Linked DNA regions of Caenorhabditis elegans. The protein of the gene in region 1 interacts with the protein of each later gene in a pairwise test. Each region holds a gene or a part of one and is shown in the gene's direction. Other genes may lie near its edges.

Region 1 (6,598 bases):
ATATCCTTAGACATCATTTTTTGTGCTTCCGAGTAAAATTCGGCAACTTGAGCAGATATTTTGACCATTGATGTAGCCTTCATCTTATCCTTGTGGCCTTTAATATAGATCGCCTCTTGTGCCTGAGCAGTCATTAATGCAGAAAGAGCAGCAAGTGTATCTGGCATGAGATCAGGAGTTGGTTCCTGTTGAACCATTCCGAGAACAACATCACGAAGACGGGCGAATACTCCAGCAGATTGTTGGAATAGTTTTGCAGATACTTTAATTTCATCATCGGTATGGAATTGTTGAGCAGCTCCGATTTGAGACATCAACGATCCGATATTGAACAGAACGGCAGCACGTTCAAAGGATCCGTCAGACAGGGATAAGGATGCTCTGCTTGAGAAGAGGCTTCCTTTGTCGAATGCATCCTTCCATTTGAAAACAACTGGATTTTGAGTTGCAGAGATTATAATTTTGTTTTCAATGGCAACGAGTTGATCATAATATCTGTAAAAAACAATTATTTCAAAGATATTCTTTTTTTTTAAATTTATTACCTAGTCAAAACATCGAGAGCACTTTGATGCTTGTCGAGAGGCTGACAGCAAGCTTTTGAACGGAGTTTATTAAGTTCCTGAACAGCTTCGGCGACATCTGAGCGGTTATTATCGGATGTATTGTAGACATTGTCGATATAGCTTGTAAGTGGCTTCACAAGATCCACTTCATTAGTCGATTTCAGCGGTGCGCTGAGAAAGCCGAATGTAGCCATTCTGAAAGAAAATTAATACTAATTTGAAGTGAGAAATAAAAAAAATAAAATAGAAAGATTCTCTTTAAAGAATTTTTCTGAAATTTTGACAAACTGTGTTTCAATTAAAATGTGAAACATTAATCAAGAAAACCAATGAATTTAGCAAAAAAAACACGAAGATGTTACGAGAATTCAAAAATAAAGTTTAGTTTTAGTAAAAGTTTAATTTTTACAGTTATATTCAGTTAGCAGGGTCAATTTTCTATAATTTAACGCAAAATCCCCAGCCAATTCACTCCATCCTTAATTTGAGGTGAGCAATAGGAAAATACGAAGCTTCTCGTTAATGAAGGACAAGAAAAATGTAATAGAAAGTAAGTTCATCACATCGATTCACACTCCTAATCATTCAACAAGAAGGGAAAAACGTCATTTCAGACATTAGAATGCAAATAACGTTCGTGATACGAGTGATGAGTCATCGATGCTGCCGGCATGGTGACCGCCCCTCTCGATTTCGCAATTCGGGTTGCAAATAGAATTGAGGTGAGAAAAAAAGAAAATCAATAGATTTCAAAATTAGTAAACGTATGATTTGATATGAAATAACAATTTGAATTCTAAATATATTGAGTTTATTTTAAGCTAGGGCCTAAGCAATCCACTCTCTCGAAACAACTTTCAACACTTCAGCTCTCCGATCTGTTGCTTCCGGGGTTCTCAAGCGCTTGAGTTAACAAACAAATCTATAGAAATTGAACCGTTTAAGTGGGTATCGGTGGTTGATGATACAGAGGGAAATTTGAAGAACATCAAAAATTCGGATTCAATAGTGAAAACTGGTGGCATTGAAGTAGATTGTGATTTTCTACTGATTTATAGGCTATTTTTTGTTTGAAGAGACCTCCGGGAAACCTTTAATGAGAGAAAAGAAAAGAAAAAGATGCAACAAGAGAGAAAGAGTGTTGAGAAAATTGAAGAAAAAACAAAAAATTCGCGAAAAATGTTTTTATGAAAGAGCGCTCTATCGAGACACAAAAGTCTGAGTCTCTTTTCATAATGCGTTCTCTCTCGCTCTCTCATTTTTTATTTATTTTTTATTTATTTTCGATTTCCTTTTCGAAATTAAATTAGTTTTTCTTAAATTCTTTATTTTTTAGTAAATGTCGGATAAACGGGCAGATGGCCGCCTCGAAGGAACCAGTGACACATTTGGTGGATTGGTTATTAAAAAGAAAAAAGTAGAGGGAGATTCAAAACCAACCGAACCATCCGGGAAGTGAGTAACTAAATATATACTTTAATTTTCTTCAAATAAAAACAATTTAAATTGCAGAAGCTTGCTTGGGCTCGATAGATTGGCGTCTACAAAGCGGGAACACGCCAGAAAACGTCTTGAGGATGATGACGATCGAGGTGTCACGGAATCGGTTCGAAAAGGAATTGAAAAGTGATTCAAACATTAAATTAGCGAAGTAAATTGATGATTTCAGAGTTCATGAGAAGCATCGAGATCGTGACGACCGTGGAATGAAATACAAAAGTCGGGATGATGATCGCAGACGAGACCGTGACAGATCAGAACGAAGAGAGCCGAGTAGTAGAAGAGGTTGGAAAGATCGAAGTGGAGATCAGACTCCTCGCTTTAAAGTTCCCGATACACCATCCAGAATGAGCTGGGATCAAGATGATCGTGAAGGATCTTCCAGAAAACGAAATAGTTGGGATATGCCGACTCCGCGGGGTGAAAGAGACAGAAAACGATATATGGATTCGGAACGAAGCATTTCAAGTGCATGGAGAAGTGAAAGAAGGAATAGAGATGATGAGAAGAGACGGAGACATCGAAAACCAGAAGATTCGGTACGAAGTGTTAAAGAAGAAAAAGCAGAGCCCACATTTCATGATGACGAAGAGAGAGCTCAATGGGAAGAGGAACAGAAGAATTTGGACAGAGAATGGTATGATAATGAAGGAGCATTTGATGATGAGTATAATCCATTCAATAAGGTTTCTGACGAATTTGTGGAAAAACGAGAAAAGCAATGGCAGGAGAAAACTCAGAAGCCGAGACTTACAGTGAAGCAGCAGGCGATCAAAAGAGAGAATGAGTTATGGGAGAACAATCGACTGCATAGATCAGGAGTCGTCGCGATGGCTGATGAATTATCAAGTATTTTTGAAGATGAAACTGATGAGAATCGTGTCACAATTCTCGTTCAAAACATTGTTCCTCCATTCCTTGATGGTCGAATTGTTTTCACTAAACAAGCACAACCAATCATTCCGGTTGTTGATACAACATGTGATATGGCTGTTTCAGCAGCAAGAGGAAGTGTTGCAGTACGAAAACGGAGAGAAGTTGAAGATAGGAAGAAGGCTCAAGATAAGCATTGGGAGTTGGCAGGATCAAAACTCGGAAATTTGATGGGTGTTAAAGAGAAAAAAGATGAAACTGCTGATCCAGAAGACGATGATTCTGGAAATTACAAAGAATCTCATCAATTTGCATCTCACATGAAAGATAATGAAGCAGTTTCGGATTTTGCGATGGAAAAGTCTATCAAGCAGCAAAGAGAGTATTTGCCTGTATTTGCGTGTCGGCAGAAGATGATGAATGTGATTCGTGAGAATAATGTGGTTATCATCGTCGGAGAAACAGGATCAGGAAAAACAACTCAGTTGGCACAATACCTACTTGAAGATGGATTTGGTGATTCGGGACTCATCGGATGTACTCAGCCGAGACGTGTCGCTGCAATGAGTGTTGCTAGACGTGTAGCTGATGAAATGGGAGTGGATGTTAGTTTCATTTTTGAGATAATTATGTATTTCACCACTGTTTTAAGAAAACAATTTTATTTTAATTTTTACAGCTAGGACAAGACGTTGGTTACGCGATTCGATTCGAAGATTGTACATCAGAAAAAACAATAATCAAGTACATGACAGATGGTATTCTGCTTCGTGAATGTCTTGGTGATGGAAGTCTTGATCAATATTCAGCAATTATTATGGACGAAGCTCACGAACGTTCACTCAATACAGATGTACTCTTTGGTTTGCTCAGAGAAGTGATTGCAAAACGAGCTGATCTGAAGCTAATCGTTACTTCTGCTACTATGGATGCTGATAAGTTTGCAGACTTTTTCGGAGGAAACTGTCCCACTTTTACAATTCCTGGAAGAACATTCCCAGTCGAACTGTTTCATGCGAGAACTCCTGTTGAAGATTATGTGGATGCTGCTGTTAAACAAGCTGTTACAATTCATCTGGGTGGTATGGACGGAGATATTTTGATTTTCATGCCAGGACAAGAAGATATTGAGTGCACTTGTGAAATGATCAAAGAGAAGCTTGGTGAACTTGATGAAGCTCCTCCACTTGCTGTTCTACCAATCTATTCCCAGCTTCCAAGTGACTTACAAGCCAAGATTTTCCAAAGAGCACCCGGTGGAATGCGGAAAGCAATTGTGGCTACAAATATTGCAGAGACATCGCTCACTGTCGACGGAATTCTATTTGTAATTGATCCGGGTTTCTGTAAGATGAAGGTGTACAATCCAAGAATCGGTATGGATGCTCTATCGATCTTCCCAGTGTCACAAGCATCAGCGAATCAACGAACTGGTCGTGCCGGACGTACTGGACCAGGACAGTGTTATCGTTTGTATACTGAAAGACAATTTAAAGATGAGCTTTTGGTAAGTTTGAGGTGAATCTCACAAATCTGGAGTGAGCGACGAATGCTAAAAATTTCATGGGAAAAATATCGAAAACGACAAATTTTTAATTTTATTTTTTAAAAATATATATTAAAAAATATATATATATGCTCAGCCCTGTTTCAAATAAAAACAAATTTATTTTTCAGAAGAGTACTGTACCTGAAATTCAAAGAACCAATCTCGCCAATGTAGTGCTTCTTTTAAAGTCTCTCGGAGTGGATGATCTTTTGAAATTTCACTTCATGGATGCACCTCCACAGGACAATATGCTGAATTCAATGTATCAACTTTGGACTCTTGGAGCTCTCGATAACACTGGACAGCTCACGCCAATGGGACGAAAAATGGTTGAATTCCCACTAGATCCAACTCTGTCGAAAATGCTCATTATGTCGGCTGAAATGGGATGCAGTGATGAAGTTCTGACGATTGTTTCGATGTTGTCAGTGCCCGCAATTTTCTTCAGACCAAAAGGACGAGAAGAAGAAGCTGATGCCAAGAAAGAAAAGTTCCAAGTTCCCGAATCGGATCATCTCACTTTCTTAAACGTCTATATTCAATGGAGAACACACAAATATTCTGCAAAATGGTGTGCCGACAACTATTTACACGTAAAAGCTTTGAAAAAGGTTCGAGAAGTTCGTGCTCAATTGAAGGAAATTATGCAAGATCTCAAGCTTCCATTGATGTAGGTTTTTTTTATTTGAAAGTTTCTTAGAACTACAATTTTATAAAATTATTTCAGCTCAAACGGAAGTGAATGGGATATTGTGAGAAAATGCATTTGCTCTGCGTATTTCCACAATGCAGCTCGTCTTAAAGGAATTGGTGAATATGTCAATGTTCGTACCGGAATTCCATGCTTCCTTCATCCAACTTCAGCTCTTTTTGGAATGGGTTTCATGCCTGATTACGTGGTAAGCAGGGCTGAATCTGAAGAAAAAAAAATGCTGAATCGGTATTTCAAATATTTCGGCCAAATTGCACTCTATTTTAAATTTTGAATATGATTTTTGGAAAAAAAGTAACACTTAAAAATTTATGAATGTTTCAGTATATCCTCTTTTTCGAAAAAAAGAAGCGGAAAATAAATTATTCGCCAAAAACACATTCCTTTAAACTTTAAATTAATATTCTAAATTAAGGTGTACCACGAATTGATTATGACAGCCAAAGAATATATGCAATGTGTAACTGCTGTCGATGCAATCTGGCTTGCTGAACTTGGACCCATGTTCTATTCGATCAAAGAATCGAAACAATCACGCAAAGAACTGAAAATGGAGAGTGTCCGAACGGTTGAAACGATGGAAGCAGAGATGCGAGAGGCGCAGAAAGAAATGGAACGGCGGAAGGAAGAAAGTGACAAGGCGTTCAAACGACCAGAATCTTCCAGGCGTGTTGTTGAAGTCGGATCGAAATCGGCCAGATCGGAGAGAAGAAAGCTGTGGGGTCTTTGATCAATTACTCTCTTTCTCTGTCTTATTTTCTCGTGTAATCGGGTGTCACTGTTAATACTCCAGTTCGATTTTCTATATACTCTGTTGCAATTTTATTTTCAGAAGTTTATTCCATAAACCTTATATTTATTTTTACCTTTTTCAATTTTTCCCACTTTCGGTACATTTCCTTTTTTACTGTATGTTTTTCAACAACAAAAAAAACTCAGAACAAAATTTTCAGAATGATTCTCGGTGATATGCCATTGGAAATCATCCGAGAAATCCATAAAGGGTTAAAACCTACGGATCTTGTTAATTCAGCTTTAAGTAATATCGATGTGATGAGAGTTATCGTAGATATGATTCCAAAAATCCGTGCTATAAAGATTGGAATCACAAGTGAGAAATTGAATGGAAAATGTGATGGAGACGAATTTGAGCTTCATATTCCAAAAGTAAATCGAGAAGAAATTCAAGAACTTTTACATTTTCTAATGCCACAAATAGTTAACGGTATTTATTTTCTTATTCGTCTATTTTACTTTTATCTAACTGTTTGGATACAAATTGAAACATTAAAAAAAAATCATTCAATTCTCGAGTATAATTGCCAATTTGATTTTCAGAAATTCATTCCCTTCAATTGGAAAATGAATTAGTCGGCGACGAGATTTCTGATGAACAGC
Region 2 (4,745 bases), 4.6 Mb from region 1:
AACTCCCACGATCAAGCGAGATGGTATCCGGCTGGATTTAAATATCTTCTGATTGGACATATTGGGGGTAATGGGGATTTGATGAAGCTTATCTTGTTATGTAGGTTTAAGTTAGTGGGAAACGAAAAATTCAAAGTAAATTATCAAATTTTTCTGTAGAATAGGGATACGTTTTCTATTTATGTTCCTTTGCTTTTTCATAATAATATAAATAGCCTTTTCATTTTTCTCCACTCATATGTTAATGCAATGAAGACAAAAAATCATGTTTCCTTCCGCCAGATCTTTAACACAAAAATACGAAACATCCTAAGAACAAAAAGACGAAGACAGAAAATCAAAACATGTGACAGCTCATTGATCCGCCCACTTTTTTTTGTTGATATTTCGACGACATTCGGTTTTGCTCCGCCTCTCACAAAGTTTTGTATAAAATCACAGCGTCTTGGACAGATTTAGTTCATCCTTCTTTCCTCATACCGGGTATCTATTTATTTTATTCCAGCTCACCGTGATGTGTCCGAAATTACGGTAGTTTGCAAAATGCATACACTAGAGTAATTCATGTGTCTGATGCCTTAACATTTTCAAAGCGATGCTAGGAAAAATTGTCAACTGACAAAGTGTAGCGAATCTCACACCTGTTCCTGGGCATTCCTCTTTTTTTAACAAGTCGGACGATCGAAATTAGGTCTTTTCTGGTGTCTTTTAACATCACATATTCCTCTCCCTCCCTTTCAAAATCTCCCCGGCAATTGTTGGCTCCGTTAGTTTGGGTATTGTGCCTCAGATTTGCCTTGAATTTGTTAGTTTGCACATTTCTATTTTTAATTTCGAAAAAAGTTACACAGATCGAAACCACAATTGAACAGCTTTTCCTTTTTCGTTACGGTTAGAAAAATTCATAGGAAATGAATTTGTTCGCTGTAAACTTTTTTTTCGTATCTTCGTTTACGATAAAGTTACAACAATGAACTACGCAATGAAACAGTTGTCTTTGGTGACCTGGAAAAGGTCAGCTGTTATATATAACGCACGGAAATACGGAGATTAGGAAATAAACGGAAACTAACTTTTTCATAATATGTCGTTAATTATGTTAGTTGCCAATTTTCTCTAGTTTTATTCTGAAAAGGTTAGACTGTAATTCATCTTCAATAACCGAGAAGTTATAGAAGTTCTTACTTATTGATTTAGTTTAACCAACTTACTTGGTAAACTAACTTTCAGTTCCCAGCAACACATTTCAGCCAATTTTAGTGCCAAACATCTAGAAAATTTGTTCCATATTTGTAAAATTTTATAAAATTGGAAAAAACCAAATAAAAACTGAGTTAATTTGGCTATTTTCAATGTTTTTTGGTTTATATATTAGTATGAGAGCGATGGAATTTGCTGCTCCTTAACACCAAATTCGAAAAACACTCTTTTAAAATTAATTTTTCTTTCCAATCATTGAAAAGCAAAAAAAACTGTGAATTGTATTAAATCTCCCCTTCTCCATTTGAAATACCGCGCATTTCACCAACAATGGCCTAGAACCACCGGTGGCCGGGAGGCCATGGCCGAGTTTTGACCTATATTGATTTTTCCTTAGCAACCGGTTGCGCAACGCGTTTTGAAGTGTAAACTCGTGGTTTTTGATGGTTTTTCTTCGCGATTTTTACATTTTTCGTTTAAAATCGTTCATTAATCGATTTTTGTTCAGATGAGCAAAGATGTATCAATCGGGTGGATGTATGAAGGCGCTAAAGGAAATGTACACCGAGAAGACTATTTACTCGGAAAGAAAGTTGACAAGAACTTTGAAAAGTATTCCGATGTGGTGAATGCGCAGAAAGCAGAAGCAATCGATTCGATTGTTGGGACAAGGTGAGTTAAAACATTAGGAAATTGATTATTAGCAACAAAAAATCAATTTTTAGTTTTCAGGGCTGTCTTCAATTCCGGACAATCAACGGGTTTAAAAACTTCTTCACTTCAGAAAGATATTATCAAATCCGAAGATCCATTTGTCGCCGTCAAGGTTCGAGAAGAAACAAAACGTCGGGAAATCATGGATAATCCTCTCACAAAAATGCGACTTCAAGCCGCGCTGAAAAGTATGATGACCTCAAAAGCAGAGAAAAGTAAAGAGAAAAAGAGTAAAAAAGACAAAAAGAAGAAAAAAAAGAAGCGATCGTCGAGTTCCAGTGATGAAAGCAGTGATGAACGGGTAGAAAGAAAAAGAAGACGCTCGCCATCGCCGAAACGAAGAAGAAGACCCAGCGAGAAGCCCAGAAAGCGTTCTAGATCGCCCAGAAGAGAAAGACCAAGATCTCCAAAGCGATCCCGTGAAGAGTCCAGGTAAAAATTGACAATTTTGATATCAATTTATCACAAATATTTCAGAAAATTGTCCCGGAAACCTTCCAGTTCTCGATCGAAATCTCCAAGACGATCCCGAGAGGATCCCAGGTACGCATTTGTCGAGTTTTTTTTCTCATAGAAGATGATTTTTTTCCAGAAAAGTTGCCAGAAAGCCATCCAGATCTCGATCAAGATCCGCAGAGCGACTCCGCCGGAAATCCAGGTCTCCGAGGCGATCCAGAGAGGAACCAAGGTAGAAATCGCCGGTAGTTAGTCTAAAACTTCGTTTGTTTTTCAGAAAAATGTCCAGATCCCGCTCCAGATCTGCCGACAAAGCGAGCTCTTCAAGACAGTTTGATTCTCACATTCCACGTCACCTGCAGCAGCAACGAAGTCGTCATGATTCGAGCTCAGGCTCAGAATCTGAGCACGAAACTCGGAGCAGTCACCGCCGCCGGAATAGTGATGATGACGAGCGACAGGATCCGAGAAAGAAGTCATATGGCTTGGTTGAGGTGAATTCGCTGTTCTAAACATTTTTCTTACAGGAATTTTTAGTGAACTAGCATATTAGATTTTCCGTCAAAAAGTGAATTTTGCATGCTTTTTCAGATTTTTTCCTCGAACAATTCGAGGATTAACAATAATTTCAGTAATGCTGATCCTTTTTCAACAGTTTTCATCCCAATTTTATTTTTTTGTCACATTTTCACGAGGAGTTACAGGAATTTTCTGATTTTGAAGTGATTTTCTTATTTTAACACCTATGTTTGCTCATTTCTAACACAATTTACTTTCATTTTGCCCATTTTCCGTCATTCTCAAGCTATTTACACGTGAAAAAAGAAATCATCTGGAAATGACATATTTACTTCGAAAATCTGTATTCTCATTGAAATTGGTCAACAAATTCACTGATTTTATTTTTTGCTCCGTTTTCTGAAGTGGAAATGTCACGAAATTCGGTTTTTGATCGAAAAGCTTAAAATGAGAATCCTCCGTGTTTTCCCCATGATTTCTTGGATTTTCTATGCTTTCAATTCTATAGATGAAAGGAAACTATTGATTTTTTGACTCCAAAATTGAATTTCTTATATTTTCTCAGTTTTGAACAAGAACGTTATTTAAGTTTCAAACCATTTCCAAGTTATTTTTTGCGAAAAAATGCTAAAAGTTAAAGAAAAACGAATATTTTTCAATTAAATTTGTTTATTTCCAGATGCGAAAGCGAACAGCCGAGGAACGTGAAGAAGAGTCACGGGCGCCCACCAAGGAGTACAAGCTTGTCAAGATTCCCACAGGACGTGGTACCGGCAATACGCCAAGAGAGCCGCGACGAGCATTGAGTGAAGCAGAGAAGGCGGCTCGGCTCGCCGAAATGCAGCAGGACAACGTGAAATGGAGGGACGAGATTCGCGAGAGAAATGTCACAAAAGGACGGAAAGAGGATGATGAGGAGAAGGAAGAGGCGGATAAAAATGGATATGCTCCATCTTTTATTAGGTTTGTATCGAACGGCAGAGAAGAAAAGTATGCAGTTATTAAAGTTCTGGCTGAAATGCATGGTTTTGCATCATTTCCGTCTTTATTTATTCCCCAAAAGCTAGAAATTCCCTATTCCCCATGCATTTTTATCAGTGATCACGCTGGTTTTCACTTGGAACAAGCTTTTAATACAAAAACTGTGAAATTTCCTGTAAAATGTATTTTTTAATTACAGATCTCAAATGCGCGAAGCCTGTGACGATATGACAGTGGAGAAGCGTCTACAAAGTAATAAACGCGGTGTTCAACGAGCACACGGGTATATGGATCGGAGTTTTGCGAAGAAATGAGCAAAAATTGTTATTTTTAAACTCCCATGTTTTGTTGATTATAAAATATTGATTTTCTTGTTCTTTCCCTCACTTTCTCTTTTTTTATTATGGAATTCCGGTCGCAAACCGAGATTATTATCTTTTTATTGCTTTATTTTATTTTTATTCTCTTAATAATCATTCCAGCAAGTATCTCAGCCATGTTTAATGGCGGCTATGGATCTGGAAACAGCTTTAATCTTCAAAACTATGCACCAATCGATCCGATGAGTGAGTTCAACTTTCCACCTTTTTCTGAAATATGCCTTTGTTTTTGTTATTTTTCAACGGTTTTTATAATATTTCTATTCGTTTGAAATTGTTGAAAAATCTGTTCTGGTACTCTTTTCCTAAATTTTCTGCTTGATTTTTTGCTGAAAATATTTTTAAAATTAATTTTAAGAATGATTTTCGCTTTGGAATTCGGAAAAAATCTAATATTCGTATGATTTTCTTCAGAAAATGTTTGTTTCGAAATCGGTTACATTTTTCACTTTGAAATCCCGAAAAATCTTTCTAATCTGTGACCGAATCAAATTT

The links.
Region 2: the proteins of mog-1 (region 1) and mog-3 interact in a two-hybrid assay, tested with the Caenorhabditis elegans proteins (one study listed by BioGRID).

The regions. Positions count from the first base shown.
Region 1 is NC_003281.10:9,951,520-9,958,117, reverse strand, and holds mog-1 (putative pre-mRNA-splicing factor ATP-dependent RNA helicase mog-1), read left to right. Parts: upstream 1-1,902; 5' UTR 1,903-1,905; coding exon 1,906-2,021; intron 2,022-2,078; coding exon 2,079-2,192; intron 2,193-2,235; coding exon 2,236-3,544; intron 3,545-3,618; coding exon 3,619-4,446; intron 4,447-4,616; coding exon 4,617-5,158; intron 5,159-5,215; coding exon 5,216-5,387; intron 5,388-5,615; coding exon 5,616-5,930; 3' UTR 5,931-6,058; downstream 6,059-6,598. Other genes in the region: alx-1 (Apoptosis-linked gene 2-interacting protein X 1), read right to left, coding at 1-495, 546-760; K03H1.11 (F-box domain-containing protein), read left to right, coding at 6,155-6,425, 6,539-6,598. UniProt on the Caenorhabditis elegans protein: Probable ATP-binding RNA helicase involved in pre-mRNA splicing.
Region 2 is NC_003281.10:5,306,894-5,311,638, forward strand, and holds mog-3 (Pre-mRNA-splicing factor CWC25 homolog), read left to right. Parts: upstream 1-1,708; coding exon 1,709-1,872; intron 1,873-1,932; coding exon 1,933-2,346; intron 2,347-2,391; coding exon 2,392-2,457; intron 2,458-2,506; coding exon 2,507-2,602; intron 2,603-2,647; coding exon 2,648-2,864; intron 2,865-3,568; coding exon 3,569-3,852; intron 3,853-4,069; coding exon 4,070-4,184; 3' UTR 4,185-4,243; downstream 4,244-4,745. Other genes in the region: Putative RNA exonuclease pqe-1, read left to right, coding at 4,367-4,436.